4 linked regions of the Drosophila melanogaster genome follow. The protein of the gene in region 2 interacts with the protein of the main gene of each other region in a pairwise test. Each region holds a gene or a part of one and is shown on either strand. Other genes may lie near its edges.

Region 1 (7,545 bases), on a different chromosome or scaffold from region 2:
AGAACACAAAAGTGGGAGGTAGAAAATGGGACATCGGACAACATGTGGTATGAGTAATTTCTGGCTTAAGCACAAGACAACGGCACGAGCGTGCTTTATGATTGCTAGTGTGTGTGAGCGGGAATGATGCGATGGAATAAAACAATTTTCATACAAATTCCGTGCATTTGCATAAATTTCATGCACTCCGGACGTGGCGATGTCGTCATTTTCATTTTCATCTACTTAGTGCAGAGCGATGCAACCAAAGGGGGCGGACGTACCGCAGGTGGGCGTGGCTGATGAAGGCATCGGAGCACGACACTTAAAAAGACGCGTATGGGAAAGTGGATGTGGCTGGGGATGGGGATGGGAATGGGAATGGGGCCCACTGGCAGGACATACTCCACCCCATTCACACGCCTGTAAAAGTTAGCGGAACAACTTTTTGTCGCTTGGCAATAATCATAAAATTTCACTGCATATGAAACAAAAAACCATAAAAGCGGTACCAAAAAGGGAGCACAAGAAACGTGATTGCAGCATAAAAGCGTCATTTACATGCCGTTGTCGTTGTCGCTGCACTTGCATCACTCGTCCTGCCAGCCAGATGTCCTGGAGTCCTGCCATCGCATCCTGTTCCATTTGCGCATGCGTCGCAAACTTTTCCGTTTGCCATTTGCCGCCTCAATAGTTACCAGCTACCAGCTACCACTTCCCCGCCCCACGGCTTTATTGAGGTTTTGTTTAAGCTTTTAGCGTAGTTTCCACTTTTTGGGGGGCAGGAGAGCCAGTAGCCAGGGGCTACAGCTAAAGCTATAGCTACAGCTATAGCTACCCATTCCATTCCATTTGGCCAAAAAAAGTTTTTTCGGTTCTGTGTTTGGCCGGCAGCATTTTTGCAATTAGGCAACTGTTCTATACGAGAGTACATTTCTTTTTTACTTCTCTTTTAGTTTGCCAAATGCAATGGAACTTTTCATTTTCGGCCACAGTTGCAGAGTTTTCATGGCTAGCAGCATTCGGCACACACAGAATTCACATTCACGCAGAGGGACAGAAATTGGTGCGTAATTGAGACCGAATGTAAGGCCATAACGGCCTTTGAGCTGCTTTTTTATTTGCAGCATTTCCGAAGAGGGATATTTATTAAATTATGAGTGGAAACTCGCATACGAAAAATTATTTAATTGGATATGGTATTTTTTCTACGGCCATTCCAGGCGAATATTTCGTTTGATAGTTCTGCAAACGGGAAGAATTCAATGGTCTGCCATTTGAAGGATTTCATATTTAAATGGAAATTAGTATGTCTGGTGCAAAGGGTTTCGACCAATATGCTGTTCATATAGGCTCTGAAAAGTGTGCTGCATTTAAATATACTTTGTTTCCCACAAAGAAGATAGATCTTATTCCATTCCGTACATTAAATGTTCGTTAAATACTTCTTTAAGCTCGCTATTTCACCTGCAGTTAGGCATCTGCAAGCTAGTATCTGACCCCTTGATCTATTTGCTTGTTGAACTTGTGTTTGGCACTTCATTCCATTTGGCGCCAAGCAAGCGGAAGGCTCATCAATATGATGGTCGGGTCGCATTATCAAACGTATTTATTTGGCAAACAGCAGGAATAGCATGAGCAGAAACAAGGCGGCGGCAGGACACGGACATAAAGATAAACCAGGATGCTCTTATCGGCCGAGATGAAAGCAAGAAAAGTTGGCAAGGAGTGGGAATGGCCAAGGACGCACACGAAAACACGAAAGTCGAGCCGGATATTTAGGGCAAGAAGAAGAGGGCTTTGCGGATACAAAAATATTGCGCACGTTGACAGCTTAACGTACATAATTAATGTGACAATCTAACGGAATGCGTGTGTGCGGACATTAATATATGGGCATTGGGCCAGATAAACATGTTGCCGAAATGATCAGGCCGAGTGGCGAACGGTGGTCCACAGATGACGAGGCGTACATTAATTACGGGCCCGAGACCAAAACCAAAACCAAACCGTTCTGGCCTTTTGGCCAAGTCGACTGCTCCGCAAAGCTGCGAACTCATTAAAGGAGCAGGCAACGGGGCGTATGCGTGACGCGTGCTAAATAAATTGAGAGACAAACAACAAACATTAAAAGTTTTTATTGCCCAAATGCGTTCTCACCAGAAATATAAATGCGCACATCCGCATACGAGGCGGCTCCCCGGCATCCTCGGCAACACAAAGCATTAAATTACTTTATAATCCGTTTATAGCTCCGCCCGGAAGTGGTCCAGACTGAAAGCAAGCAAACAAACAAACAGACAAACTGGCAAACACTCACGACCCGCCCCCTGGGAGGGCAGCTCAACAGCATAATCAAATCAAAGATTACGTTGAAACATTGAAATTACGTCTAGAGCCGAAAGCACTCATAGTCATAGGCACTACCACCACACACTCGCCGCACACGAACACATACACACACAGTCACACGGTCACCCGCCGCCTCTTCTTCTTTCCCGTCCGTGTTGACCGAAATTAAATGTTTTTGCCAGCTCTACGAACTTTTTAATACCTACGGCAGGGGATTCCGATATATGAATGGTACTGATCAGCGATATTAATTGGCAATTGTATCAACTTAAGTGTAAACTTTTTAACCAGTTTATTTACCAGGATTAAATACATAGTCTACGGGCGAAAGAAAACTTAATAGATTTCTGTTTTGTTCGCACCCAATCATCTTCTAGCCCTATCGATGGTGCATACTTTCTAATAAAACAACAAAAGGTAGTAGGTATTGTAGATTCAAAGATGAAAATTACCATAATTAATACGCAGAAATGCCTCCTTGGTACCCATTACACTCGAGTATTCCCCCGTCGCGACCGAAAAATTCACAGCCTAACGTGGGGCGCCTCAAACAATTACAAACATAAAGCGGGGGGCTGTACAACTTTGACCCTGGGAAACGTAAACAGCAAGAACTACGAAACTATGGGCCACAAAAAAGGCCGTAATAACTGTGCTTCATTCATGCACACAAGGTGATTCGTGTTTCTGCGCACTCCTCTCTCTCCTCTCTCTCCCTCTCTCTCTCTCTCTTGCTCGGCTCGATGCTTATGCTTATCCTTCGTACTAGAGTCCTGCCGCTCTCTTTCGAAAAGCTGGCAACCCTGCAAAGCACACATTTACGAACCAGAAGCCACGGCTTTTATCAGTTGGCTCGCTGACTTTGTGCTGTGAACTTCGACGCGCTGGAAGGTCCTGCGAAGTTTTCGCATTTCCTTTGCTGGTGTGGAAGCGACGTGTTTTGTGAGTGCGCGTGTGTGTGTCTGTGAGAGGGCGCCAACTTTTCGGTGAGACTTTAACCACCAGTAAACAACAACAAAGCAAAAACATTGACAAAAAAGCAAGAAAGGCGGAAAGGACACAAGGACACAGCCTGCGGTCAGGGAAACCGCAATCAAAAATTGTAAACAAACACTGGAAATCGAGCGAAATCAACAAAGGAAGTCGACGCCGCCCTGTAGGCAACGATTCCGCTGCTAGCCAACATGGAAATGGACGTCAATCGCCCGACCGGCCGCCATGGCAACCTAATGACCATATCCGCCCGCTGCTCCAACAACAATGCAGCCGAAGCCGGAGCCGGAGTTGGAGCCACCAGGACTCCGGCCGCCGGAAGTGAGGCGCCGCCCAGCGGCTGCTGCGGCATCTTGGGCCGCCTCCTCTGCGTGAGTCGCCACAAGGCCACGCAATCGGTGGCGGGCAGCGATCCCTTCTCCCAGCTGCAGTTGCAGCGCAAGGGAGTCGCCACACCTGCTGCCGTTTCCGGACAGCGACGCCGCCGGACGCCGCAGGAAATCTACTTCGAGAGTCGCGGCAAGTCCTGCAAGAAGCTGCTTAAATTCAATGGCAATTCCAACAAGGTGAGTGGCGAAGGGCAGGGGCATTTCAATGGCTATATCCGCACAAAAGATACGGAGATTCGGCGGGATGCGCATCAAATCCTTGCTCGCGAAGCTGCTGCATTCAGTGGATTCAATTGACTTGAAGTGGAATAATCAAAGCATACTCTAGCATTGATTTTGCGATGCTCTTAGCTGGAAAGTATTCGATTTAAAAGGGGGAATATGTTGGAAGAAATACTCCGTTTCCTTGACAAAGTGAACCAGAAAGGGTTAAGGAGCAGCTACCAGCATCTTCCCCTTTTTAGGTTCTTGAGCGAACGAATAAGTGGATAATTAATTTCTAGTCTGACCCAGTGCAGCTGGAATGTTTCGAGAAGCCGGTCCTTTTGTTGTACAGTGGAACACCTTGGGAGCGTCCCAGTGCTTATCGCATAATGGAACAATCCCCTTCTCGAGCGCATTGCAAACAATCCTAAAAGTGCATAAATTTTACAGTCTCCTGACTACATTGTCATCCATTGCGAGGCGAAGACCTCGTAGCCGGAGTCCTGGCGCCAAAGTGCCACGAGCCATGAGCCAGGAGCCACTCAACCGTAAGGTAGCCAATACCCAGGGGTCCTCCAGAACCCGCCCGTCTGTCCCGTTACCCCACAATTATAGACGCGTGTGTGTGTGTGTGGGGCCTTTGTTATAAATTTTGGAAAATTTGTAGCAAAAGCTGCGGAGTGAAGTTCGCTCGATTGCCCCCGGTTTGTTTGGTTTGGCCTAGGTAAAATGGAAAATGCGATGGGATGGCCTGGGAAAATAGGGCCAGGCTACACACACACATTCGCACACTCAGAATGCTTATGCCACTTTGCATATAAATCATTCGGCATTGTGGCCAGAACGCAATGCGCTTATGAAATATTTCGTTTGTTTAATGCGCCAAAGGACAACATTCCACTCCGCCCCACACACTGTGGCTCTACAGTTTACCCACTTTCGTCCGATATCCCCAAATTCCCACTAATTAAAAACGTGCAAAAGAAAAGCCAATCAAAAAGGTCGATGCACAACAATGGCTGCGTGCTCCTTCTATTCCGAAAGCACCAGAAAAAGAGATGTTCAATTATGCCATTGCACTGTGAGAAATTATATCTTCAAAGTGTGATTGAAATAATTGATAAGGCTGGTAGTCCAAGTAAATGGGGACTCCTTAAGTTCAGCATAGCATCTCTAAGCTATGTTAACAAGTAAGGCAGATACTCCATTCTGGTTTCAGGAGATCCTCTGTGGGACTCCCAAATTTCGCCCAATTTCGGGTTCCCGAATTTTGTTTCTCTGCACGAGGGAGTGTCTGCATCAAATGCACATTTCGCACACACTCTCACTCGGCCCGCAATCTGCCGGGCATCACGCACTGGAGCGCAAGCAACAGGATGAATTTGTTAAACAACACGAACACGAAGGATCTGCAGGAGCTCGAAGATTGGGCAGCGGTACGGAGTGAAAAAGTGAAAAATGAAAAACCCATTCGCCCTATCAAGTGACATCATCAATTTCAGTCTATTTTGCACACAGTCGACTTGTGGCCCTGGTCGTCCGGTCTTCTGCTCTTCTGGTATTCCGGTCTTCTGGTCGTCGTGGTCGTCCTGGCAGTGCAACAATGCCAAAGGACATTAACACCAATCCGTTGACAACGAGTGCACAGGAACGATGGAGACATAGACGCTCAACAGCCCGCTCCCGTAAAATTCAATTCGAAAAGCTTCACTCGGTCATTGAATCAAGCGCTTTGAGCAGCAGGCAGGGGCAGGATCCTTTGATGAACAATCTGATTACCCCCAGTTTCGTCCTCAAAGGGTAGTTTACACATCGTCCCCCATCGATTTTATAATGAAGCAATAGCAATAGCAACAGCAACGGCAATAGCAATAGCTTAGGTAAAACAAAAACTGTTTGTACACAGGATAAATGGTATCCATTTGCAACCACCCAAAAAACGGAAATCAACCCCCAGATGGATGTATATATTCCTACGGCTACGGATAATGTTGCAAGTGAAATCTGTCGGGTGAAGTTTACCCTCTTAACCGAATGCGATAATGCTGTAAGACATATTTACATTAACAGCTGAGTTCGCGGGGGGAAGATGGTGTCTCTGAAGTCAGGGAATACCGCGGCATATGCGAATTAAAAATGAATCTATTGAGTCACATCTTGATCGAATGATATGGCCCATTTGTCTCATTATTTGAGCGACGACAATGGCTAATGCAAAATCCTTTACACTTTAATCTGCCCATTTAGTTTTAAATGGCCCTTTCTTCATGCCGTGTAATTAGCTTGCCGAGCACAAAGGCCAATGCAATCAAGGACTCAACGAACTCGCAGAGTGAAAGAGTATTATGAAAAAATGAACGTCCTCTTCGGGCAAGGCGGAAGTGACTAGCCACTGGCCCTCCCTTTCAGCCCACTGCCCACCCCCTCTGGACGTCCTTGTAAGCTGCTCACTGTCTGCGAGCATCGTTATGTCCTGCCTCGAATGTGAGTGTGTGTATGTGTGTGTGTGTGCGCTTACATATGCATATAAAAGGAAGAAAATGCCATCAACATTGCAACGTTGTAATTGCCAACAGGCAATGAAGAGCCACAGCCAAAAGCAGCAGGCGGAAAGGGCGTGGTGTGCGGGGAAAGCGCAGCAAACTGCCAACTGCCACATGTCCTGCCAGCTCAGCTCCAACAGAAAAAAGGACTCTCCGCCTGGTCGCTCACTACCAACGAGGGTCACTCGTAAAATGTTCAATTAGGGAAAGATTACATCATTGAATGCAAACAGTGTTTCGGGCCAAGTTTAATGCCTACCTACTTATTTGAGCCAACTTAATGTTGTGGTATCACGTTTTACCACATCCAAATAGACATTCAGAGATGGTTCCATTTGAAAATATAAAATACTGTCTGTATATGTATCGGAAATTTTGGAAGCACTCCCCTCGAAGGATATGTGCGTTGGCCAACTGGGCTGTGCGCCATTTTTAGCACACGGCTAATGTGTTTTGGCTGGCGCTGCTGCTGCATTTTCCATGATGAAGGATGCAGGAGGCAGAATGCTGGATTCATGGCTAGGCAGATGGAGGTGGAAGAAGGTGGGGCTATGCGGTCCACTCCAAACTGCAATGTCCGTCTGGCTGACTGATGAGCTGGCCGCCCGAGTGTCGCCTCTGGTTTTGCTGTTTGCTGATTTAGCCGCCTCCATCCAACTATTCATTATAATCAGGCCTGATTATGCCCGCCCAAAAGTTAAGCAGGCCAAGTCAATTTGGGAGTGTATTTATTTAACTGGCGCTGGAAGCCGGAAAGTTGAATGCGGGATGACGGGAGCTGGGCGCTGGATGTGTATAAAATAAAAAGTCATAAAACTGAGCTGAACCGTTGATCCAAGTAGTTGAAACACAGACCCTTTTTTTGCCGAGCAGATGAAGCGGTTCGGCTGCCTTTATTTGGCTGAAGGGAGCTTCAATTCCCTTCACTTCCCTTCCCATCGCAACCTCCTCTTTTTGGTTGGCGATGACGATGACAAGGGTGCTTTGCCGCCTCACTGACTAAATAAAATTGGAATTTATTATCATGATTTGTAGCAAGAAGAGGCCAAGAGACAGCGGCGAAATGGCGGGCATAAAAAGCACAG
Region 2 (6,440 bases):
CGATTGTGATCAATCATTTCATTGAGAGCGGTGCAGAGAACAAGCAGACTGCCTGCTACGACATCGATGTGGAGGTGGATGATACGCTCAAAAACCAGATGAACAGCTTCCTGATGAGCACTGCGAGCCAACAGGAGATCCAGGGGCTGGACACCAAGATCCACGAGACGGTGGACACGATCAACCAGATGAAGACGAACAGGGAGTTCTTCCTAAGCTTCGCCAAGGATCCACAAATGTTTATTCATCGCTGGATCATCAGTGAGACGAGGGATTTGAAGGTTAGTTCTTTTTTTTTCTTTTTTGCCTCATACCGTTGTCTAAACCTTTCGTCCTTTCAGCTGATGACCGATGTAGCTGGCAATCCGGAGGAGGAGCGTCGGGCGGAGTTCTATTACCAGCCATGGACGCACGAGGCCGTTTCGCGCTACTTCTTCACCAAGGTCAACCAGAAGCGGGCCGAATTGGAGCAGGCGCTGGGCATACGCAACGGCTAGGTGAATGATGAGCTGATCATCTCCACCAGCCAATTCGTGGAGTCCACCGTCAAGAGACCTCCATAAACCGTGCGCACGGCAAACTCTTTTTCCTTCGCCAGTTTAGTTTAAGCTTAAAATATTTCCTTTTTTTCCGACAAGCCGAACTCCATCCCGTTCCAAAACGAAAATCCCCTTTGCAGTTGTCCCAAATACCCACATCCAGCACAAATATTGGACTTAACTGTAAGCTAATAAAATGGCATACAAATATAAAACTGTCTATAAAATTTGATTCGGTTCACTTTTAGAAACACTAAAGTTTAATTTTTATTACGAGTGATTTCAGTTGACTTTATATATATTTAGCCTTTTGATACTTTTGGGTTCCCTTTAAATTTTAGAAAATGCATTTGTTGGTTAATTGAGATTTTAGAATCACTTGTAGCCTTACGATCCTATACGATTTCATGTTAACTGATTGTTTCTAAAATACGTTTTGATCTACATTTGGATATATTATTGTAGGGTTTTAGCTGACCAATCTAACAATGTGAAAGGCCAGCGTTTGAGTCATCTCACAATATTTCATAATTTATACTTTAAAATTATGTGTTTTAGTAAGTTCCATAGTTCTGCAATCCTTTGATGCTGTTGATTTAAAATTGTATAAAACGCATTTTCAGTTGATGCTTCTTAACTTAACGATTTACGCACAAGCTTTAAACGGTTTAGACTACAACACAGGATTAATATCACTAGTAAACTAAAGACGGACTCGGATTACTACGTCTCGGGCTAGACCTCAAGCTATAGGCGGAATGTGCAACCTTTACTCCTTTTGCTGATATAGGATCAATTTCGCTTCTTGCGATTGGCAGCAATGGAAGCGGATGAGCTGTTGCCCGTATCCGGGGTCTCGCTAATGGACAGACCCGTGTCCAGCCGACTCTTGTCAACCGGATACAGCCAGCGCTGATACAGATAGATAATAAACACAATATCATCGCGCAGGCAGGCCACCCGATGGGCCGTGGGCATGGTGATGATGAAGGCGAAGAAGTCGTCGATGAAGGTATTAAATGCTTTATACATAAATGCGCGCCACGGCAATGCGGCCACAGACTTCAGCTTGTAGTTTACAAACAGTTGCGGCAACATGAACAGGAAACCGAAGGCGTAAACTCCGTTCACCAGTGAGTTAAGTGTCCATGAGTACCAGGAGCGGTGTGGTTGGTAGAGGAGCGAATAGACCGCTCCGCATATACAAAGCGGATACAGCAGATAGCTCAGATATCGCATGCCCTGTCTGTCAAACTGATCAGTCTTCTGCTCCTCCGCCAGCTGACCTGACTTCACGCCAGCTTGGTCACCATTCCGCCGGTCAACTTGCTCCAGCTTGCGACGAACCAGGCCACTGAAGCTAAGCTCCAGACGGAAGATTTTCTTGCACTTCCACAGCTCAATGAGCGTGCCCAGGCCAACTGGCACAAGTACCAGATACGACGTATTCTCATCTAGCAGATAAAAAAAGATCACGATCTGCGAAAACGCTCGCCACATTGTGGTGCGGCTTGATAGCCCCTCGTACGACTGCTTTTTGCGCCAAAAGGCCACGTCGTTCTTAAAGCTTAAAAAGTCGAAGAGCATCTGCGGGAAAAGGGAAACATAAATTAGTTATAGGACTGGAGCATATGACGTATGTTGCAATTTTTCAATCTCTACTCACATGGATGCTGGACACAAAGATGGTGCCACACAAAAGGTATACATTGGTGTCCGAAAAGATGCCTTTCACCTCGTCAATATCCTTGGTAGCAAATCCAATGGTGAGCAGCGCCTGGGTGGCGTGTTCCATGAGCAGCATTAGACGGAGCTTGCCCACGCCCACGGGCTTGTAGTGGAAGCTGAATGTGAATTCGGTGGTATTGCGGGTGACGGGCACTAGATCCTTTAGCCGCGTATTAAATGTATCAGTCTGCAGGATGGGCAAGATCTGTTGATTGCGATTGACACGTATCAAGGGGGCCATTTCAGGTGGGACATCCGCTTGCGAAACGGAATAGAGATCGTTGAGCAGGGTGACGTAAACATTCGATCGGATGTGGGTGCTGGGACGTCCAGTGGTGGAGGCTTTCTTCTTTTCTTTCTCCTGGACAGCGGCTGCTGCACCTTTCTCGGAATCTCCAAGCAGTTTAAAGGCCTCCGCCCGCGGCACTATGTAATCCGTGAGACTCATCGTATGGACAACGGTGGGCCCATCTCTGCGCAGGCTACGCCATTCCAGTGGCTCACCCTCCAAGGCCAAGACCACATGAAGATACAGGGAGCCATTCCGGCGCGTCCTCAGCGGCACATCCACTTCGAAGTCGTGCTCAAAGTTTTGATCATAGTCGAACCTCTTGGCCTTGTACAGATCCCGCACCTCGGTGGCAATGGGACTTCTGCTGAGGGAGGAAAACAATGCCAGTTGCAGGCGTGGCCTGTCCGCCAGGAATGATGTGTAGCACGGCACACCGCTGCATTGCAGCGTAGTGAAGAGCTGCGACATCTGGTAGATGGAGTGGCCGATGTACGCCAGAAATGCAACGCCTAGAAGCGTGGAGATCGAGGGCAGGGCCATGTCCTCCTCTTACGGTTTTCTCGTTGGTGCGTTGGCCGGCGTTTTATTGGTATTGGCACTAGAGCCGGCAAAACATTAAAAGAAGCTATCGATAGTTCCGGCAGTATCGATGATCTAAAGCTTCAAAAACTATCGGTTTTTATTGTCCCTAACGGTCGTTCCTAGCACGTGTTTCCAAACTATCATTCCCATCCCAACGTGATACATGTCAAAAAATTAAATTTAACTAAAAGCAATGGATTCCAGGATGTGCCGTGTCTGTTTGAGGGAGATGGAGAACATGCTATGCATCTTCGAAACGATGCCGCTACCCGGCGTTTCCCTAGCGACCATGATTTCCGATTGGTGCGGCTTCCCGGTTCTACCGAAGGATCCTTTTCCCAAGACCATTTGCCAGTCTTGTGCGCTGGATGCGCAGACTGCTTACGGGATGGACAGCGTGCAGGTGATTGAGCAGGATGAGATGGTGGTCAGTGAGATGAATTATGAGGAAGAAGGATCGAATGACTCCGATGTTGAACTGATTGAGCCAGTCGATGGCAGCCAGGAGATGGAGACAATTGACTTGACAATCGATTCACCGGGGGACAACGTGGAGAATATGTGCCCCAACTCAAACTCCAACGGGAATGGCAATGTGAGCCAGAGCAGCGCCCAGAAGGATACCAAGAAGAAAATGCTGAAGAAGACACATAAATGTAACATTTGCGGGAAGTATTTCATGTTACCTGCGCACCTTAAGTGTCACATGTGGGTCCATGCGCGTGAAAAACCTTACAAATGCTTACAATGCTCCCAGTCCTACGCACAAATCCGCGGTCTTAGGCGCCATGAGCGCGTACATAGTTCGAGACCTGAATTACGATCCTACAAGTGTTCCCGATGCCCCAAGATCTTCAACAGAAACTCTGCCCTTAAGAACCACGAGACCATGCACCATAATTAATGCGATCCTACAAGTGTCCCCGATGCCCCAAGATCTTCAACAGAAACTCTGCCCTTAAGAACCACAAGACCATGCACCATAATTAATGCGATCCTACAAGTGTCCCCGATGCCCCAAGATCTTCAACAGAAACTCTGCCCTTAAGAACCACAAGACCATGCACCATAATTAATGCGATCCTACAAGTGTCCCCGATGCCCCAAGATCTTCAACAGAAACTCAGCCCTTAAGAACCACGAGACCATGCACCATAATTAATGCGATCCTACAAGTGTCCCCGATGCCCCAAGATCTTCAACAGAAACTCTGCCCTTAAGAACCACAAGACCATGCACCATAATTAATGCGATCCTACAAGTGTCCCCGATGCCCCAAGATCTTCAACAGAAACTCTGCCCTTAAGAACCACAAGACCATGCACCATAATTAATGCGATCCTACAAGTGTCCCCGATGCCCCAAGATCTTCAACAGAAACTCTGCCCTTAAGAACCACAAGACCATGCACACCATAATTAATGCCAAACCAAGAAGAACGACCATGATGTTAAAAGACTAATGCAACGTGTTACCAAAGTATAGGGAACTTCGAAAAGCGAACACCTCCAAAGAACCTCACAACGATTATACTCATTTTTTGTCAATCCGATATATGATCGTTGGAATAAATACTAAACGCTGGGACACTGTATTTGGTAGCAGTTTTTATTTAAAGGTTTATGTATAACAATATACAGCATATAGTATATACAACATGATTTCATAAAATTAGGTACTAGAGTTTTATATAATTATAACTATGAAGTACTATGTATAACTCTCTCTCTTCGTCACGCGCGAAATTTCCAAACCTTTGGAATAAATTAAAGGACTAAAATGTACACATCATGAAACAAAAATATGATAAAAATAGGTTGAATTGATTTGCACGCTTCAAGTTGCACGTCATGTTTTCCTCGATTTTGATTTGTTTGTTTGTTTTTTTTTTTTAACTTTTATAACTGGAACACATTGTGAGTGAAAAATGTGGTGCAGAGTAATAAGTACATGTATAGATAACGATCCGAAAGAGTCGAGGGTGCAGATGAGTCGATGCTATAAATATGTGGGCATTGTTTGATAGACAAGAAATAGATAACATGACAAAATGGAGGGTATAAATAATCGGAAATGGTCGGATCTCGGCTCAGGACTTAGGCGAGGCGTTTCTTTCGACTAGGCGAGAGGATCTTCAGCATTGTGACGACGGGCGCCTCGAAGGACATCGACACCACGAAGGACAGGAAGTAGGAGGCCACCGTCAGACCGAAGAACATGACAACCTGGAATAAGCAATAAATAAGTTATGATAAACCCTTTTCGTTGTATAACCAATTTAATAGATTTTGTTTTCTTAGACAGCGATTCTACAGCGACTTCATCTTCCAACTCACCATCAGATCCCCGCCCAGGTGAAGCGGCGCGTCCGAATTGAGCGCCATGGAGCGGATGACTATCGGGTGGACCAAGTAGGCGCAGTAGGTGACGCGGGAGAAAGGATAGAGGCAGGGCGCCGAGAGCAGCGAGTTGATGTAGCCGCCGTAGCCCGTGGAGCAGGCGATGGTGATCCAGGCCAGTGACAGCGCCCAGGCCGAATGGCTGAGCGAACTGTAGGCGGCGGCGGTGAACTGTGACAGGTCGGCCTTGTACAGCCCGAAGACCAGGACGAACAGATTGAGCATGGCCAGGGTCCAGGCGGTTGCCACCGTCAGCTTGGGCAGTCGGATCTTGCAGTTGGTCCTGAATAGAATCCAGCCCACGGCCATGCCGATCAGATAGGGACCCAGGCGGGTCCATGGCTTGTCGTAGATCTTGTCGAACAGAGCCAGCGGATCGTCCGTGTTCGGTCGATGATTGTTGGTGAACGCAATCACCGCCGTGGTGATCCACGACAGCACCAGGAACACCAGTGTCGTGATCGCCGACAGCTTAAAGTGACGCACGCCCACGATCAGGATGATGGCACCGATCATATAGAACTGCGTGTCATTCGCCAAATACCAACTCCAGAGCATGCACTGCGGATTTAGAGAAATGAGGAGGAATTTTATATTATACTTGTGACGTTCGTAAATTGTTATTCAAAAACAGAAGCCCAACAGTTCTCAAATGCATGAGTGTGTATGGGTGATTACAAGTCCCTTTGTCTTTTGAGCACCAATTTATACTTAAGGCTAACAGCTATGTTGAATAACACTCACCATCTCATCGACAGGAAACAGGGTGTTGATGTAGAGAATGTTGCGCCACCAGTAATCCGGACAGGTGATGTGATCCATGGTGGGTGGATCAAAGATCGAGTAAGTGGCCAGATACTTCATGGTCACCTGGACAACGCCCAGGACGAACAGATAGGG
Region 3 (6,809 bases), on a different chromosome or scaffold from region 2:
CAAAAAAGTATGGCCAATAAAGAGTTAAAACGTTTTAACGCTGGAGAATTTATGACAATTTAAAGATTTTACTAACAATCTGGATATTTCAATTTGAATATGACGAAAAAATGGTTCATTACTTATCCATAACATTTCAGCTTTTGAGTGGTAGTCGCACAACCTCGGCTGTATGTGGCACATGTTGATGGCCCCCAGCAAAGGGGACTACATTGTTGTTGTTATTGCATTGGCTGTTTATTTTTCCAGTGCACAACCGTTGACGTTGCCATACACAATCAGCCCACTTTCTAACTGTTTATGAAGCAACCTCAAGCGATGCAAAACAAAAATACAAGAGGACATAAAAAGAAAGGACCAGAATAACAAAGAAAACCACGCTCCGCATTAAGGGGTGAGTGCAAGAGGGAGACTGCAGTTCTTGTGCTCCCCTTTTGCTCCACTTGTAAATGTGTCAAGTGAGCTTGATTCTCTTCCACTTACATACATGTACGTATGCAGGTGTGCTGTGAATGTAAGAGCGTGAGAGAGTTAATCAGCGGCATTAAAATCGCGTGCAGCCATAAACAAGTCGAGTGTTAGAGAGGAAAGGGGGATCGTCATATTCAATTTAACAGTTAATCAGTAGACAGCGCACAAACAACAATGCGGCATGGAAACAGCAGTGGAAAAACAAATCAATCGAGAGGTGCAGACAATTGGCAACCCAAATATAAATAGTCATTTCCCGATTAAACTGCCTGGTGATGAAAATTAATACAGCAATTTCGCCAAGCCTTCAGTCTGGAATAATAGCCATTATGCCGAGCCTATCAGCTGTCGGCTACAAAATAACAATCGCACAAAGTGTCGCGTCATTATGCAAGCCCCCGGCATTTTGGTCTGGAAGTGGGCGTAAATAGTTTGGGGTGTGGCCAGAGAGCTCCATTACAGAACAGCTGTCAACTGCCTCGCCAAATTCCGCAGTGCTGTGTATGGAAGTACAGTAAACTGTTCAAAAGTCGAACTTTTTTTATACATAGTATGTTTCCATGCTCGATATCCTAGTATTATTATCTTTTATATACAAAACATTCATATCTATGAGAAGCCCATTCAAAACCATGTGTTAGAAAGTAGGCAACAAAAAAGTTACATTATTCTGAAATGCCAACAAACTAATAGTTCAAACTTTTAATAAACTTTAAATGGTCTTTAGTGGTTTGAGATTAAGAGTTTCGACTGCTCAACGAATTTTTTGTGAATTAGAACCATTACCGCGTCGGCCATTCAATGGGCATAATAAATTAGTCAGCTCGGGTACTTTGCCATGCGGTCCGGATCAGGTGACGAGCCTACCTCTATTTAGTTTGTATGTCCAGGGAAAGTGTGTACATACATATACAAAATGGAAACGGACTTGGTTGGAAATTTATGCAGCAACAAGGTCAATCGATAAATGCAGAGCCGAAAGGTACACCCAAAACCCAAGACGAGTTGCCAAGGTAAAACAAAAAATAACGGTAAACGACAGGTGCCGCAGCCGCTGACAGGCTCAGGTAAAGGTACAGGTGTGGTCGGGGCCGTTATTCCCTTGGATTTTCCTTCCTTCTTTGGTTATTTGGTCGCTCGAGGCAACGGCAATTAAAAGCAGTCAACTGTTTACGGCTTTGTTTAGTGGAAGTCGTTGGCCGAAGTAAGCTTTAAATATGCATGAGAACATGTTCAAACATGCACATGCACGCATTGCACGCAATGAATTGTTTATCGTTATCGATAACGTGGCATTGAAATACTTTTTGCGGTCTAGCCGCAGTTTACTTTTTGTTGTTTTTGAGCTGTTTACCACGAACGGAACGATCGCAAACGATCAAAACAACTTGTTATTCTACAATTGCGAAAAAAGTGCCATAGCAACGATAACAAAAACAAGAAACCGCAGAGAGAATTGCATTTACAGCCGTCATTGTTGTTTTTGCCACTTGCAATTGCACGCCCCTCGCTTTTGTTGTTGATTTGTATCTAATTACCGGAGACTCAAAAGTCAAATCATGAATGTTCGGAGAGAAAATTGAGAAAAAAGATACTTCACCTTACATGAAAGCGTATGACACTGCAACAGTAGCTATAAATTGCATCAGAATGTCGGACTGGAACAGTTTAAATATAAGTCTAGCCGATTTAAAAATACCTAAGGCTTACACCAGCGTTAATCAGCTGAGATTTCGGTTATTTTCCACATCAATGATTAAGCATTAATGCAAAAAAGAAAGTATTGAAAACAGGGGGATCAACCAGACGCAAAAAGTACACTTCGTTTTCAAAGTGATAAGCAGCATGCGCCCGTGTTTGGATTTTACCAGACAACATTTCTAGAACCGGGGTCATAAATGCCACACTTGTTATTTGTTTGTCGATAATTTTTGAGGTAGTCTTTCGATGTCTGGACCCAGAACCAGGTCTCCTGGCAATCTTCAAGTATGAAATGGTGCCAGAAAAGATAAGGAGCGATGGTCTCCTGCTGGAAAATCTGGTTCTAGGCGGTTCTTCTAAGCAGTCGAGTGTCGCGAGTTTAATGACAGCTCAACCATAATTGTTTCTATTGTTTATATATTTTGTGATAAGCAGACATTGTCGCATTCATGCAGCACATGTTGTGATCAAAGGTTCACGTTCCCCCAAAGCAATTCTCTCTCAATTGAAACTGATTAAATGAAAATTGAGCGTAATTCGCGGATAAAAATATAAGCCATAGAAGTTAGGGTATTCTGGAAGTCTTCTTGAACTGACCGAAAAACGAAAACGGTTTGGAGTTTGTAACAAAAACGCATTTCTCTCCCACTCGCACACTTGTAATGCTTATCGTTCGATCGCTACACTGAAAAGAAAGCAACTGCGTTTACATTTTGTAAGAATAAATTACAATTATTGATATTTCGATTTGATAATGTATTTAAATGTAAAATTTTAATCTAGTTTCTTGTGGCTTAAATTGTTATGCAAATCAGCTAGTTGGACAAAAATAGTTTCGTCTGGACATAAATTTTTCTTTCCGTGTGGTCGGTAATCATTTTTTCGTTCCGTGTGGTCAGTGTGAAAAGAGAGAACGACAAAAAGAGAGAAACCGCTTTTGTGTGCGTTGAGCGGGTTTTCTTAAAAGGGCGATCGACTGTTTTTGAGTCACTTGTGAAAAATCAGTCATCGCGAGCAGTTCGACTAAGGAAAACCCGCTGGCACACACAAACCGTAACCACTTATCAAACAAAAACAGCTGGCCCGCAACGCGAAGCGCGTGTGCAAAAAGAAACGAGAAAACATACACAACAAAAAAGCACAAGATATAAGAGATACACAAAAAGAGAAGCAGTGGAAAATTTTGGGCACCAAACACAGCCGAAGCTTTTACGCCAAACGTTAAACGAAAAGCCAAAACTTAAACCGCTTCCAAAAAACACAACGTGTTCGCCGGTCGAGATGAGCGGTTCCGTATTGAGTTTGGCGCGTCCTGCAGCAGCCACAAATGGCCATAATCTGCTGACCAAACAGCTGAATTGCAATGGCAATGGCACCACCGGTGGCGCGGCGAAAACCACTGTGGCCTCGGCCATAACACCGCCCAAGCAGCCCCAGTTGGCGGCCAAGGTCATCCAGCAGTCGCAGATCGTCTGTTTCGATGTGGACTCCACGGTGATTTGCGAGGAGGGCATCGACGAACTGGCCGAATATTGTGGCAAGGGGAGCGAGGTGGCTCGCGTTACCAAGGAGGCGATGGGCGGTGCCATGACCTTCCAGGATGCCCTCAAAATTCGCTTGAACATCATACGGCCGACACAGCAGCAAGTGAGGGATTTCATCCAGGAGCGACCCAGTACACTGAGCAAAAACGTGAAGCGTTTCGTCAGCCATTTGAAGGCGGAGGGAAAACAGGTTTACTTGATCTCCGGCGGATTCGATTGCCTAATTGCGCCCGTGGCCAATGAATTGGGTATTCCCCTGAAAAACGTCTATGCCAACAAGATGCTGTTCGATTATTTGGGCGAATACGATAGCTTTGATATCAACCAGCCCACTTCGCGTTCCGGCGGAAAGGCAGAGGCTATCGCCCTGATAAGGAAGGAGAATAGCGACGATTCCCTAATCACCATGATCGGCGATGGAGCCACCGATCTGGAGGCCGTACCGCCAGCCAACTACTTTATAGGTTTCGGTGGCAATGTCGTGCGGCCGGAGGTCTATCGCCGTGCACAGTATTACGTAACGGATTTTGAGCAGCTGATGGGGCAGTGAGATACGTATACGTAAGGCGGTGGGGGAGTGGCGAATTTAGTATTTGAAATCAACGTGTTATAGCTCGTAGTGATGCACATGTTTATGCCCAAGTATGTGTGTAATAATATGTACGTTAGTTCGTAATTAAACAATAATAAAAAGCGATAGTAATAAATGGAAAACGAACAAGTGAAATCAACTTTGTTACTGTTAACTTAACAGAATATGTTAAGCGCGCACTGTTAGTGAATCAGCAGAAGTTGTAAAAATACAGGGTGCGCCCTTATGCTAATGAACAGTTCACGCTTTAGCATCCAACTGTAAGCAATTTATTTAATTTAAAGAAATTTCATGCACATAAAATATGTATAAAAATAAATTTCTGTATTTATATGTTTATGGCGAACAAAAACGAAAAATACAACAAAAGTTTAAATAAAACATTCATTTTTCTATGGAATAGTATGTTAAATACTTTATTTAAATTTTTGATTGTAGGTACCAATTAGGTAAAACCAATTAAAGCCTAAATGTTTTAAATGCAGCCTTGCAGAGCTATTAGCAGTTGCAATAATAGCCCATTAGGTTACAACAACAAAACAAATGCTCTTTTCATGACGAATTTACTTTCGACTTCTGACGTCTTTCGAAACCAGTAAGTCTATAAGCCTATTATATCTACATACCAGAACAAAATGATAACAATAGACCGAAAGGTGAAGGGTCGTGGGAAAATAAATAATTAGTGGGCAGCCGATTCCAGATTTCAACTTTCAAAATTTTGGATAAATGGGTGTGTTTTAACCCATTTAGATATTCTTTATGTATTGAAGCCAAATTAAAAACTAATTCGACTATGAGAGAATTTAGATTGGGCATATGGACATTTGTAGGAAAACTAATACTTTTGTTAAGCATCAAATTTGTTGCTTTACTTGCGATTGAAGACCAGCTGTTTAATTGCCCAAGCTTGAATTCCTTTCGATTTTAACACGAAGGTGCCAGCAATTGGCGGCTCAAAAGGCCGTTAAAAACCAGAAAACAACGCCTCTGCGGCAATTATCAATTGCTGTAATCGACTCCAGCGGAGTTGAAACAGTTGGCAAGCAGAAGCAAAAACAAAGGCAAGGCCGAAGCGTGGGTGCCAGCATTGGGCGGTAAACCATGAATGGAACGGGCGGTTTGGCGGTCAACGTCATCGTGTTTAATTGGCGGCGGGAAACGCTTTGAGCCAGCTTAAATGTGGACCATATTAGGCGTGATTCGACTGCCGTTTGAACGGTATAGGGGCGTGAATTAAGGTTGCATTCGAACGCAGAACGGGAAAAAAGCAGCCGCCGATGATATCACCATCCTAATGAACTGGGCTTAAAAGGCGTCTGTTATGCCCTGCAGCCCAAGTGAATCTGAATCACTCAATTTGGGTGATTTGGGTGACAGTAAGGATTCTATAAAGGAGGCCTTCTGAGGCCTTCCCAATTCTCATTGTACGTTATTTTATTTAAATAGTTCAAAGTGCAATTTATTACTTAAAGAAGTAATTTATCCAGTAAATGTTTCACTGTGGATGCTAATTAAATAACGTAGATTTTGGAAAAAAGCCACATTTAAGGGAAGTGCAGACATAACAGAAATTCTACTCTATAATACAATCATGGATGCCATGCAAATGAGGCGCTTGTTGGCTATTTCTGCGTGGCCGCTGGTGTCTTTGTCTATTGGTCATGACTTCAGAGCGCGTCGCATGACGTAAAGATGTTTTATTTATGTGCCCACTGAGCCACAAGGCAGCGGCACGAAAGCGGTGGGCAGCGGAATGGAAATGGGTATGAAAAACTGGCATAAACGTAAACAGAAAGCTTGACGAAGTAGACTTACCGCAACGCTTGGAACGGTTAAACACAACAGCCTCGGGGGGATTGGGCTTGGAAATCGAAATATCTCACGGATTCGCGTTCCAGTTTCCAGTGGCACGGCGAATGCACTATTCCGGCTTTTCCGCTGCAATTTTCGGATGCTTACGGATGCTGCGCGTTGCGATTCGGTCGTAACTATGTATCTCACTCACACACGCGTCGGCGGGGCGGGGGGTTTGTCTTGCTTTATTGATTTTGAATTTTGTCTCAAATTGAACCCAACAAAAAAAACGCCGTTAAAAACTGGTGAGCCTTTCGTATTTCTGTATTTTCCACACACCTGGTAATTCGCCGCGGTTTGTTGCTTTGTTTGTTTGTGTATGTATACGCGCCGCTTTGGGAATCGGAGTAAAGAACCGGATGATTTGTGGCCGTAGCCGTGACGTGTGGATATTGCGCGAAAGTCGGTTAGTAACTGAACATCGTTTGCGGCGAGCACAAATTTTTGGGGGTGAAGTTTTCTTTGGAGCCAGGCGAAGCTTTGGCTTGCCACATAGAGATGGCATGCAGCTAACCGGTCAATCGATTGGTTAGGGATGGGAGTCTTAAAGAGTGCCAGTTCCAATATTTTCAAGATATCGAAATTTGAGTAACGTAATCCAAGCAACTAGCATTTTCAGTTACATTTTTATATCTTCTTTTGCA
Region 4 (10,519 bases), on a different chromosome or scaffold from region 2:
GAGCAATAAATTTTTACTCTCTCAACGTAACGGTTCTTTTTGTTTTTGGGCACTTGCTGCAAAAGTGCGCGAAATTAGGCGGTAACAAACATAGCACTGACCACGTATTTGCTGAATAATATTAATAGAAGTGATTGCTTTGGGTTTTTTTTTCCACACATTTTATAAAAAGGAATTGAATTGAAGGTTTTAATTGAATTTTTTCCAAACGAAGGCCCAAAATTCTCAAGTCATGGGTCGCATAAAGCATTGTACCGTCGAAAAAAGAAATTTGATTAAAAACATGATCTCTGAAGGTAAAACCTACGCTGAAATTGGACGCATTGTCGGTTGTTCAAACAAGAAAGAAAGCCCTCAATGTCCAACGTTGAGATCAAGCCCTTGGTTCGACAAAGCCTTTTAAGCCGGCGACGGAACTGAAGAAGGAGCTTAATCACAAGTAATAAGACTGGACTGGACGTATAGGACACACCATTTTAATTGAAAATTTGAATAGAGAAAATTTAATAGAGAGTTTGAATTTTGGTTATTTCCATAATTTCGATATTATCGCATAAGTTAAAAAGCCGTTGAGCCCATTAGTATCGATTGTTCTATCGTTTTACCGTATATTTGGGCGGTCTGTCAGCGGTCACACTTAAAAATATCCCCGGCAAAAAAAAACACAAATTGTGTTTTTAATACTTTTGATATTCTAGCGTAAATAATTGTTACGCGCTCTGATGTCCACCACAATTAACGCCATAACGTTAGTCCTGGTCTAGAGGTTGAAAAGAATCCTGAAACCAAAGAACCTGAAGATCAGTTAGTAACCGAAGGAATTGCAATGGGTTCCAACGGCGAAGAATTATTGAATTTCGCAATGAACTCAGACAGCGTAAATACCATAAATTCAACAGCGGACGTCGCAGAAATTGTCTTAGACACTAATTTAGAGTTCAACAAGACGATTCCTTTTCATCTGCCTCAGGAGTCGGACGTGGAAATGGTCTCTGTCAGATCAGCTGCCGAACCTGATCCTAACAAATCAGATTCCAAAGCAAGTAATAAATCAGATTCCAAATTAGATGGTAAATCGATATTAGAGTCAGGAACCAAACCTCAGGCGGCCCCGGGGGAGGTTTTCGCTAGGAAGGCATGCCTCAAGAGGACCAACGAATATCCTGCTCCGCTGAATCATACTCTCAAGAAACTGAACTGGAAGTTTAACCTGCGTATATTGATCTCAAATCTGTACATGAAGAGCGAGGATCGTCTTCCGGGAGCTTGTGTTTCCAGGTGTCTTTACAATACTAGTCTGTGCACGCAAAGACATCGGTGCTCCGCGCTTCCGGATGGCCCAAACTTTGCGGCCGTTCAGGCGCTACGAACCACGTTGCACGGCCAGCACTACGATACATTCCTGGACATTCTGGAGATGATGGTGTTGCAGGGTGTCTACCCAGGCGAAGGAGTCTTTGACAGACTAATAGATATGGCCATGGTTGATTGCTTATTTCTCTGGTGTCACATTGTAATAATATCATGAATTCCTTATGCAGATCCTAATTGCCAAAGAGATAAGCGTAAAGGAGCTTGGCGACATCTACAACAAACTTATACGCACCTTTTTTCTTTTGGTCGACGCCTTTCCCCCGTGCTGGACAGCCCTGCGTCCTTACTACTTGAGTTTTCTGGGCGTCTCGCATCCCCCCTTGCGAGAAACACGTTCAACCAATTCTACCCAGAAGTTGCAGTTTTACATCGATCTTTTTGAGGAAAATCTAACGCATTGCAGCGATGAAGAGATACGTGAAAACACCAAATTCTATGAAAAGTTTGTGTTTAACTTCTCGGAAGAGGAGGATGCGAATATGTCCCAGGAAACGGTCTTTCTGCGACATGTACAGCAGTATGACTGGCAGAGTGGGAAGCTTTGTCTGGACGACTTCAAGAGAATGTCGCCCGCAGTCCGCTTGGCACGGCTCTGCGATGTCCTGAACATGCTCACATGTGTACTGGAAATAGAGTTCCTCTCCTGGCTGGATCATAACAGGTTGAGGCAGTCGGAGTCGGAGCTGTTTCAGGAAAACTCCAGGTCATTTGCCTCGATCGTATTTGAAATGTCAGCAGGAACGCGTCTCAGCGACATCGTTAAACAAATTATGAGTCTGTATGGACAGGTAGTGGCCAAGTCCATGTACCCAGAACGCCAGAGGATTCTCCAGGTAGGTTTGTAATGTTTTTGGGTTGTATGCTTTATGTAACTCTTTCAGTACTATTAGCGCCTTGTTTCCCTAATTGTCGAAGTAAGCAACACGGCAGAGCTAAAGTACGAGGATAATGCTGTGATATATCCTAGTATGGGACCCCAAACCCATCTGCTCATCGAAGACTTCTTCAAGATTTTTAAATCGCACAATCGCAAAAAGGTTCGCACCTACCTAATGGCTATTCGGCAGTTGGACCCCCCATATCTCCGCTTCGAGTTCACAGACCACTTTTTGAAGCTCTTTTTCTTTCCCAAAAAAACTCATTTTGGACCGGAAAAGGTGGTCGGAGAATTTAGAGCGCGTCAATGGGTAAAGTACAATCTTAAAAGTGAGATTGAGGATGACGATGACGAGCAGTTGTCGCGTGAGGATTACCTAGCATTACTCCTTAGCGCCTTAAAAGACTATGACAAGTGGTTAAATCTTGGAGGCTTTTGGAAGTACCTAATGAGTAAGGAGCTCGTGCAGCCGTTGACTGCGAGGATCAGTCCTGTGGGAAGAGTTGTGCGCGAGGCGCCGAAGGTGTTCAGGCTCGATGCGTTGGAGGAGGAGGTACACACCTGGAAGGAGCGCATGAGCACCAAAGTAATTACAGGTCGGGAAAAGGTGAACCTGCCGGTGGCCAGTATCAATATGGCCAAGATGTGTGTGCGCTATGGCGAGGATGTGAGACAAATGAGAGTTTTGCGACAACTCCTTCAAAACGAAGTTTACAAGGAGGTCGATGTGTCGGACTGGTTAACCTATCTGAACAACTTTCTGAGCTATGAAGAGTCCATGTCTCCAGTAGACTCTGCGTCTTCCTCCTTATTGGGAGGCATATGAGGGCCCAAATACGAAAATATATCTAAGGCTCCATTAAATTTAAGGAATTTCATACCGAAAGTTCAAACTTAATTATTTTAAGCCCGTTAATTAGTATTTATCTAAATGGTTTCAAATAAGAATGCATTTGATTCGTTACCGTTTGTCATAAATTCCGTTTCTGTATTTCTCCATTGCAAATATATATTTATGCTGTAACTAAATACACAATTACGTACACATTTACATATAAATACAGCTACTGCGCATGTACATACATACATTAATAAATATATATGTGTATAATTACATAATATTATCGCGATTTGTTTTTAAGCCTTTTGCTTGTTGGTTTTTTTGCAGTTCCTCATCCTTCTGCCATCTCGATTTGCCTAACGTGTCTTGTCTTTGTTCATTGTATGTCTAAATTCTTTGCAGTTTACATTTTACACACTCAACTATCATTAAAGTAGGCGCTTAAATGCTAATCTCACTACGTCATTTTTATATTAAGTATATGCATACGCTGGGGAGGGTTAGAAAAGCTGGGTGCAGAGCTCAGATGTTACAAAGAGCAGAATCCGATCTGCATCAAATATTAAGCATTCATTTTAGAGCGACCTTTCAAATTCTCTAGGGATCTTAGATCCTGGCGAGGATCTGCATTCAGGGCCTTGAAAAACATAGCACGGATTCAAGCGTTGCTCTTATCATTGCTCTACTAGGTTGGGATTTCGGTTTTTTGTTTCTGCTGTCTTGTCTTTAATTTGTTTAACACTACACATTTATCAACATTTATTTAATATTCATTCCATATAGGCTAGGTTTCTTTGAATGTGTCTCCACTTCCCGGCTTGCAATTGATTCGTATACATTTGGGGACATCCGTGTTTGTTGCGCTTTGAATTCTATAGGAACTTGATACAGGAGTCTTTTCGGTTTGACCCTTGCTGCAGTTTTTAAAGGTATTTAAAGGCGACCGGCGTTTGAAACAAAGGACAGTCGGGATGTGAGGAAACCAAGGGTAACATACATAAATTAAAGGGCTAACATAAAAAGTCACATGTTGTATTTTTAGAAAATATTATTTTCTCTTTTAAAAAGGTTTTCGTTTACAATTTAGTTAAACTCTTTCGCTTTCGCTTTATACATACAAATTGGAGTTGGGCTTTGTACAGAACTTGTTGCTTTACTATCTCATAATCGTAATTAGTTATGAATTAATTAGCGTTACTTTGTGTTTACTTCATTAACTAATATTTAAACGAAGGCTAGCGTGACAGCTTTTGTGTTTCCAAATTATGCCAATGCTGAAATTAAAACTACTAAGACTAATCAATTAAAATTAACAAAACGCTGATTTAAAAACTATGGCTCTCTAGGGACTAAGAGCTAATTAGATAGTTTCGACCACTTAACACTATTAGAATATTTTTCTTTGCCGTTTTCTGTTCAGGATATTTTTTTAAGTTTTGCTGACAAGTTTACGAAGTTAAATAATTAAGCTATTGATTTTATAAACAAATTGTATTTGTGTTAGCCCAGACTAAAACACGCCCTTGCAAGATGGCGAAAAACGTCACCAACTTTGAGTTGTACAACAATTTTTCTTAAGCTTTAAATGCTAAATTAAACAACTTAAAAGTGAGTCGGGTCAACAATTTACAATCTGAAACGGGTTGCACTTTGGGAAATATTTTAATTAAGTTCTTCGTACACGTAATGCTTTTTGCCTTTTGGGTTTAGTTTGCTCTTGCTATTAGCAAACTATTTTCACTCTAGTTAGGGTTAGGTTATTTTATAAGTGAGTAGAGAGGGGTTTAATCTATTTCCGGGGCTGAGAGGGTTGTGAATGTGAGATGGGGTGCGCTGCTATAGAGACAACTCTCTGCAAAGGTCTTTCATCTGGTTTTTAGTTTAGCTTTACTATTATTTTAGTATTTTTGTTTCTGTTTTTGTTTACGGTTTGTGTTATTTTTTTGGGAGCTCTGGGTGCTGGTGTCGGCGCCTTTCGTTTACCTACTTTTGAAGCGTTTGCTATACAATCATCTTGGTAAGTTCTTAGTCACACATTTAAACCTTAACAACAACAACAATGTTCGCTACAATTAAACAACTAACAACAACGTAAGCGTACACACCAAACATGGCTCACTTCTGGCTCGATCGCTGCTCCTCTTTCTGCTCCTGAATTTCCACTACATCCGCATCCACTTCCGACTCATGCTCCTGTTCATCCTCTTCATCCGCATTCTCCTCCTTGAGCATGTACTCGAGGAGCAGCTCATCGACTCATCCCTCGCGTTGCGTTTCCGCCGTCGCTGACGTCGTGGCTGTGCCACCATTCGATGGTGACTCCACCTTGATCACTCCAAGCTGCTGCAGTTCCTCTCGTGTGTGCTGGATGCGACCCACCACAACACCGCCCATGGTCACAAAGCTCCCGTCCGCCGTCACAGCGCCCAATTGCATAGCGCTGGATAAGTCCCCTAGAGCGGCCACATTAAAATGATGGTGCGGCGAGCCATCCTGAATGTGCTGATGCTGCTGGTGATGTTGGGCCACTGTCGTGGCGGAGGGCAACGTGGTTATGGTGACTCCACGCTGATCGATATGCTGCTGCTGCTGCTGGGACGGAGGCGGCGGGTGGTGCTGATGCTGCTGCTGTTGATGGTGGTGCTGGTGTTGCTGCTGCTGATGGTGGTGCGCCGCCAACGGCATTCGTCCTAGTCACCCCTCATCCTCCTCTGTTTTGATCTTAACAGGAACGTAGACTTTGTCCATGACGTGTATTTTTATGTGGTTGTTGAGCGTGCTGGACTGTCGGAACTGCTTCTTGCAGATGACACACTCAAAAGGCTTTTCACCTAAAGAATAAGACACAAATCAGTTTCGGTCAAAATTGTATGGTAGCACACTTCATCACTCACCCGTGTGGATCTTCACATGGTTGGCCAGCGTGCTCAGTTGTCGAAAATGCTTGGGACAAAAGTTGCAGTTATAAGGCTTCTCGCCCGTATGGATCTTCAGATGGTTCGTCAGCGTCGACGATTGACGGAAGGTCTTATCACAAACGTTGCATTTGTAGGGCTTCTCGCCAGTATGGATCTTTACATGGTTGGTCAGTGTGCTTAGCTGTCGAAAGCGACGATCGCAGACGGTGCAGTGGAAAGGTTTCTCCGGCTCGCGGACAGCTCCCCCTACGCCAACGGCAGCGTTGCCCTCTCCGGGATGCTCGCTATGTCCATTGGCCAGGTAATGCTCACTGTGGATCGTTGTCGGACTATGCGTGGTCAGGTGCGTCAGATGTGAAGTTGGTGGCGGCGGTTGCTGTTGTTCCGCCGCAGCAGCTTGGGCTGCTGCAGCTTGGGCAGCTGCCATAGCCGCTGCTTGGGCGGCACTATGCGCCTCCGCCGAGATCCCGCTTAAGTGCATCTGGAAGGGCAAGGGGAGTTCCGTGGGTGGCGGCGGCACAGAGGGTGGTCCGCTCGACTGCTGTTGCTGCTGCTGATGATGTTGCTGCTGCTGTTGCTGTTGTTGTTGCTGCTGCTGTTGAACCGCCGCCATGTGAGCCGGATGCGTGGCCTGGGTGACCGTCTCATTGTTATTATTGTTTGCTATGGTGGTTTGGGGCTGGGCGGCCACTATGACAATGTCGCAGTTACTGCTCATCGCCGTAGCAGCGGCATGGGCATGGGGCAGGCTTTTGATATGCATCATGGACTGCTCTTGCTGGGATTAGGTAGTCTGGATTCGGGATTCGAAGCTGGATTTGAATCTGGTGGAATAGTGGAGGGAGACTGCGGTACCTCGGTGACTTGAACAGAAAGCTGGCTAACAAACTAAGATCGATGCTTCAAAAATGCCACGACATGCTCATCTTGGGCGCTTCTCTGATGTTGTTGCTGCTAGTGCCTGTGTTTGGAGAAGGGAGATTGGGATTAGTTGAGTCGGCGGCTTGGCTTTTTGGTATGCAAAAATATGTGAGGAATTCCCAAAACATACGAAATACCTAACTGCGAAATTATAAATCTAAATTATTCAATAGCTGACACACTTTGATAGCTGGGCTCCCGGCTCCAGCTCCACTTCCTCCCCTTGAAGCCCCCTTTCCATATGGTTCCTATGGTTCTTTGTGTGCCCTTATTAGTGAAACGCATTGAAGCCCATTTTGTGTCCTAACTAGCATATTACTCCTTCGTCTCCTTTAGGCAAGCCTCTCTACATAAATAAGTATTTGGAACTACACGGCTTACATATCCATACATGTTTGTAAGGAGGTAACTGGCTTACTTTACGGTGTGAAACTATGTTTTAAATCATTCAGGTATAATGATTAACGTATTAAGCGTTCAAAGCAATATTCTTGCGAGAGTAAATATTTTCGGGCTTTATAACATTTATTAAAGAGCCATACTAATATTAAACTCACAAACAAACTGTGATGAGTAATTTTTAAATAAGATCCATAACGGATGACCGAATCCTTAAAAGATTTTTATGACTTCGATGGTATGAAAACTTCGAATATACGTCAAAGAGCATAAATTATTAAACATACGATTGATTATGCATTTTGAAACAAAATAAAACGCGCGCTGCTTGCATGCATGTAACTTTTAATATATTTTTTGAACGCTGGTTTTTACGTTCGCCGGACAAGTTACCTGACCCGCCCCCTGCTCACCCACCAGACAAGATAGACACTGAGGCCAACACAACACGCACACACATGGAGCACTCAGGTATCTCTCTTTTTGTGTTGAATTGACAGCGTGTTACTTTCTCGCCAAATTACATGTGTTTTTCTGGCAACTTAAGAACTTAGTGATAACTTTACCAATTGGATAACAATCTCAACGGAGGCGAGATCGACAGGATTCCGAACTGACCTTTTTTGGGCGGGCTTTTTGGGGGATATTTTCCCCTTTTTTCAAAAGCAGTTTTTCCACTAACACGTTGCCTCTAGATCGCCCCTCGCGCTCCCTTCTTCAGCTAAAAGTCACAACCACTTTCAGTCGCACACACGTATGGACATCACTAGCGCACACACGTACACGTACTGTGTAAAAGCTCTTTTGAGGTTAGGATACTTTTAATTTTGGAGCTCTCCGCTCGAAAATGTCCATTGTTTTTCACACGTCTATAAACGCTATTTTTGCCAAATGATTCCAGACGGAATTGGGTATACTGAGTGACACACTTGAACTCTTTTCGGGCGCCCACACATTGACCTACCTTTCCATTTTGTGGCTGTGCTGTGTGGGGCCTTTCAGGTTTAGATTTCCCCCGTTTTACATCATTTTTCGCACTCGATTCGGTTTTTTGGGGGATATGGGCCTTTCGGAGGGTGTTCGCGTATTGCTCTCGCCTATCAGAATCGGGTCCTCACAGCATTATCTGTGGCTGGTTCTTCATTTATAAAAAGCGTATAAACGTTAGAAAAATAGTACAAATATTTCTTTTCTTTTTTTTACTGTTTCGCGTACAAAATAGACGCGAATGAACTAGTGCCAATTGGGGATGGGCGATAGCTATGGGGGACCTGTTACTGATCACGAGTGTGAAGGAATCACGATGACTGCCCCGAACTCAATGGGAAAGTTGGTATAAGAGATCAAATTTGGGAAAATTCTCAGATTTATTTAGGCCAGCACATCTTTATAATTATTTTTTTTCCCACCATATTAATATAAAATCATTTTCTAATGTGACTTCTCGTGAATATCGAATTGCCATCTCTATGCTAAATGAGCTAGTTCCACTGAAGTCATTCACATAGGAATATGTAAGTTTTCTTTCGTTTTTGAGAGGTTTTCCTCCCGCCACAGTACGGTCACACTGCCCGGTGCAGAACTTTTGTATAGGAATTTCGTTTGCATTATTTTTTATTAAATTGTACTTAAAGACCAAATGCAATTGCTCAGAAAAGTGCAGGTGCAAGTTTTATAAAATCGTGCAGACCCGCGAAGCCTGCGACTGATCACCATGTGCCTGCCCATTGGTTAAACTCAGCTCGCTGTTAACTTTGTTTGTGTTTTTGTTGTGACTTCCAGCCGGCGGACGCAGTTCATCTATTTGGAAGGTAAGCAGAATTTAGGTAAGTATATACTGAAGGACTATACTGAAAGGTACCTTCGATCCTGACCGCTTTTTCGTTACGGCACGAGAGCCTGTCCATCACCTGCTTCACGAATCCCTTAGCATCTTCCTCCTTCTGCTGGGCCACAGCTTGAATATGGGAATTTGCCCTCAGTTGCATGGCCCGAATGTCATCCTGCATCGCCTTCTTACTGCGCTCCACCACTGCATCTAGAGGGTCTTCAAAGGTAGTGCTTGGCTCGAAGATGTTGCCATTACCATTGCCATGTCCTGCAGAATTGTGGTTTGAGTTTACAGAGGCCGTTGTTCGTTCATCCTCCTCGTTGGAACCCAACGTTGTGGTGGTCTTTGGTGCCCCCTCTTTGAAGGACAAGTCATCCTCGCCGCGAGGTGTGGAACATGGCGTGGTCTGTGGATCAGCCTCCCTCGCCGCTTTTATCTGAAACAATGAGGAGATGTTTTCCTTGGCGCCCAGTACTTCAGTAGAGATCTTGCTGGTCACCGAATCCATAGCCCTGCCCATCGAATCTTTTGTTTCCGAGGCTGCTTTGACCGCATTACTGCCCGCCTGCTCCACTGCATGCATTGCACTACTTCCTACTTGTTCCACTGCGTGCATTGCATCGCTGGCCAACCGATGGGCACCTTTACCCGCCGCTCCTACTGCTCCTCCCACGGTATCCACGGCTCCTCGAGCTCCAGTAGCCATTCGCTCGCCTACAGCTTCCATGGCATCACGAGCTCCATTTGCTGCATTTTTTACCGCTGTTTGAATCGAGTTACGAGTGGAGTCCATGACATCTATCGCGTCTTCGCCGACTTTGGACACCGCCTCCTCAGAGCTCGTCACAATTTTGTCAACTTGCTCCTCACCACGCTGCATTTTTTGCTCTCCATCTGATTCCAGATCCTCCACGGAGCTCTCCAGTGGTGTATCTGGCATTTGTTCCTCTACCCTGGACGTCACATCCACTCCGTCGTTTATGAACCGTATTTCGTTGATCACTTTGCTGCTGTCCGTTGAGTCCTTCGTTGTGGTTATTTCCACGGCCAGGTGCTCATCGTCTTCCGTGGGCGGTGTTGGTGTGTTCACGTGAATTTTGGCCGTAGGTACTTCCTCCACTGTGTCCAGACTAGAGACCAGTTCGGGAGAAGTCCTCTCCAGATGGTCATGGTCCATGGCAGACTCGTATGAAAAGTTTCGTATAGGCGTCTTTTTTATTGTCTGCGGTGTGCTAGAATTACTGCTCTCGGGATAAGGCGTGCGTGGGCGTAAAAGTGTTTCCTGGCTGCCAGGCACTTTCGGCTTGGGATCAACTAATTCCATATCGTGTGCGGATTTATTCGACCTTAAAGATTCT

The links.
Region 1: the proteins of CG4318 (region 2) and CG30419 interact in a two-hybrid assay, tested with the Drosophila melanogaster proteins (one large-scale study listed by BioGRID).
Region 3: the proteins of CG4318 (region 2) and aay interact in a two-hybrid assay, tested with the Drosophila melanogaster proteins (one large-scale study listed by BioGRID).
Region 4: the proteins of CG4318 (region 2) and Aef1 interact in a two-hybrid assay, tested with the Drosophila melanogaster proteins (one large-scale study listed by BioGRID).

Annotation. Positions count from the first base shown.
Region 1 is NT_033778.4:24,225,424-24,232,968, reverse strand, and holds the start of CG30419 (uncharacterized protein), read left to right. Parts: upstream 1-3,173; 5' UTR 3,174-3,515; coding exon 3,516-3,890; intron 3,891-7,545.
Region 2 is NC_004354.4:13,151,755-13,158,194, reverse strand, and holds CG4318 (uncharacterized protein), read left to right. Parts: upstream 1-3,270; 5' UTR 3,271-3,334; coding exon 3,335-4,045; 3' UTR 4,046-4,734; downstream 4,735-6,440. Other genes in the region: Bap60 (brahma associated protein 60kD), read left to right, coding at 1-281, 342-497; CG4332 (uncharacterized protein), read right to left, coding at 1,332-2,126, 2,206-3,099; CG32645 (uncharacterized protein), read right to left, coding at 5,238-5,366, 5,478-6,101, 6,285-6,440.
Region 3 is NT_037436.4:9,420,097-9,426,905, forward strand, and holds aay (astray), read left to right. Parts: upstream 1-3,156; 5' UTR 3,157-3,453; coding exon 3,454-4,266; 3' UTR 4,267-4,685; downstream 4,686-6,809. UniProt on the Drosophila melanogaster protein: Catalyzes the last step in the biosynthesis of serine from carbohydrates. The reaction mechanism proceeds via the formation of a phosphoryl-enzyme intermediates.
Region 4 is NT_037436.4:21,431,477-21,441,995, reverse strand, and holds Aef1 (adult enhancer factor 1), read right to left. Parts: upstream 8,569-10,519; 5' UTR 8,295-8,568; intron 8,124-8,294; exon of another isoform or gene 7,949-8,123; intron 6,972-7,948; 5' UTR 6,777-6,971; coding exon 5,987-6,776; intron 5,924-5,986; coding exon 5,787-5,923; coding exon of another isoform or gene 5,349-5,786; 3' UTR 3,357-5,348; downstream 1-3,356. Other genes in the region: CG5664 (uncharacterized protein), read left to right, coding at 827-1,483, 1,542-2,207, 2,265-3,077; CG33288 (uncharacterized protein), read right to left, coding at 9,003-9,130, 9,192-10,519. UniProt on the Drosophila melanogaster protein: Transcriptional repressor that binds specifically to fat body-specific enhancers, namely the adult ADH enhancer (AAE) and the enhancer that controls yolk protein gene expression.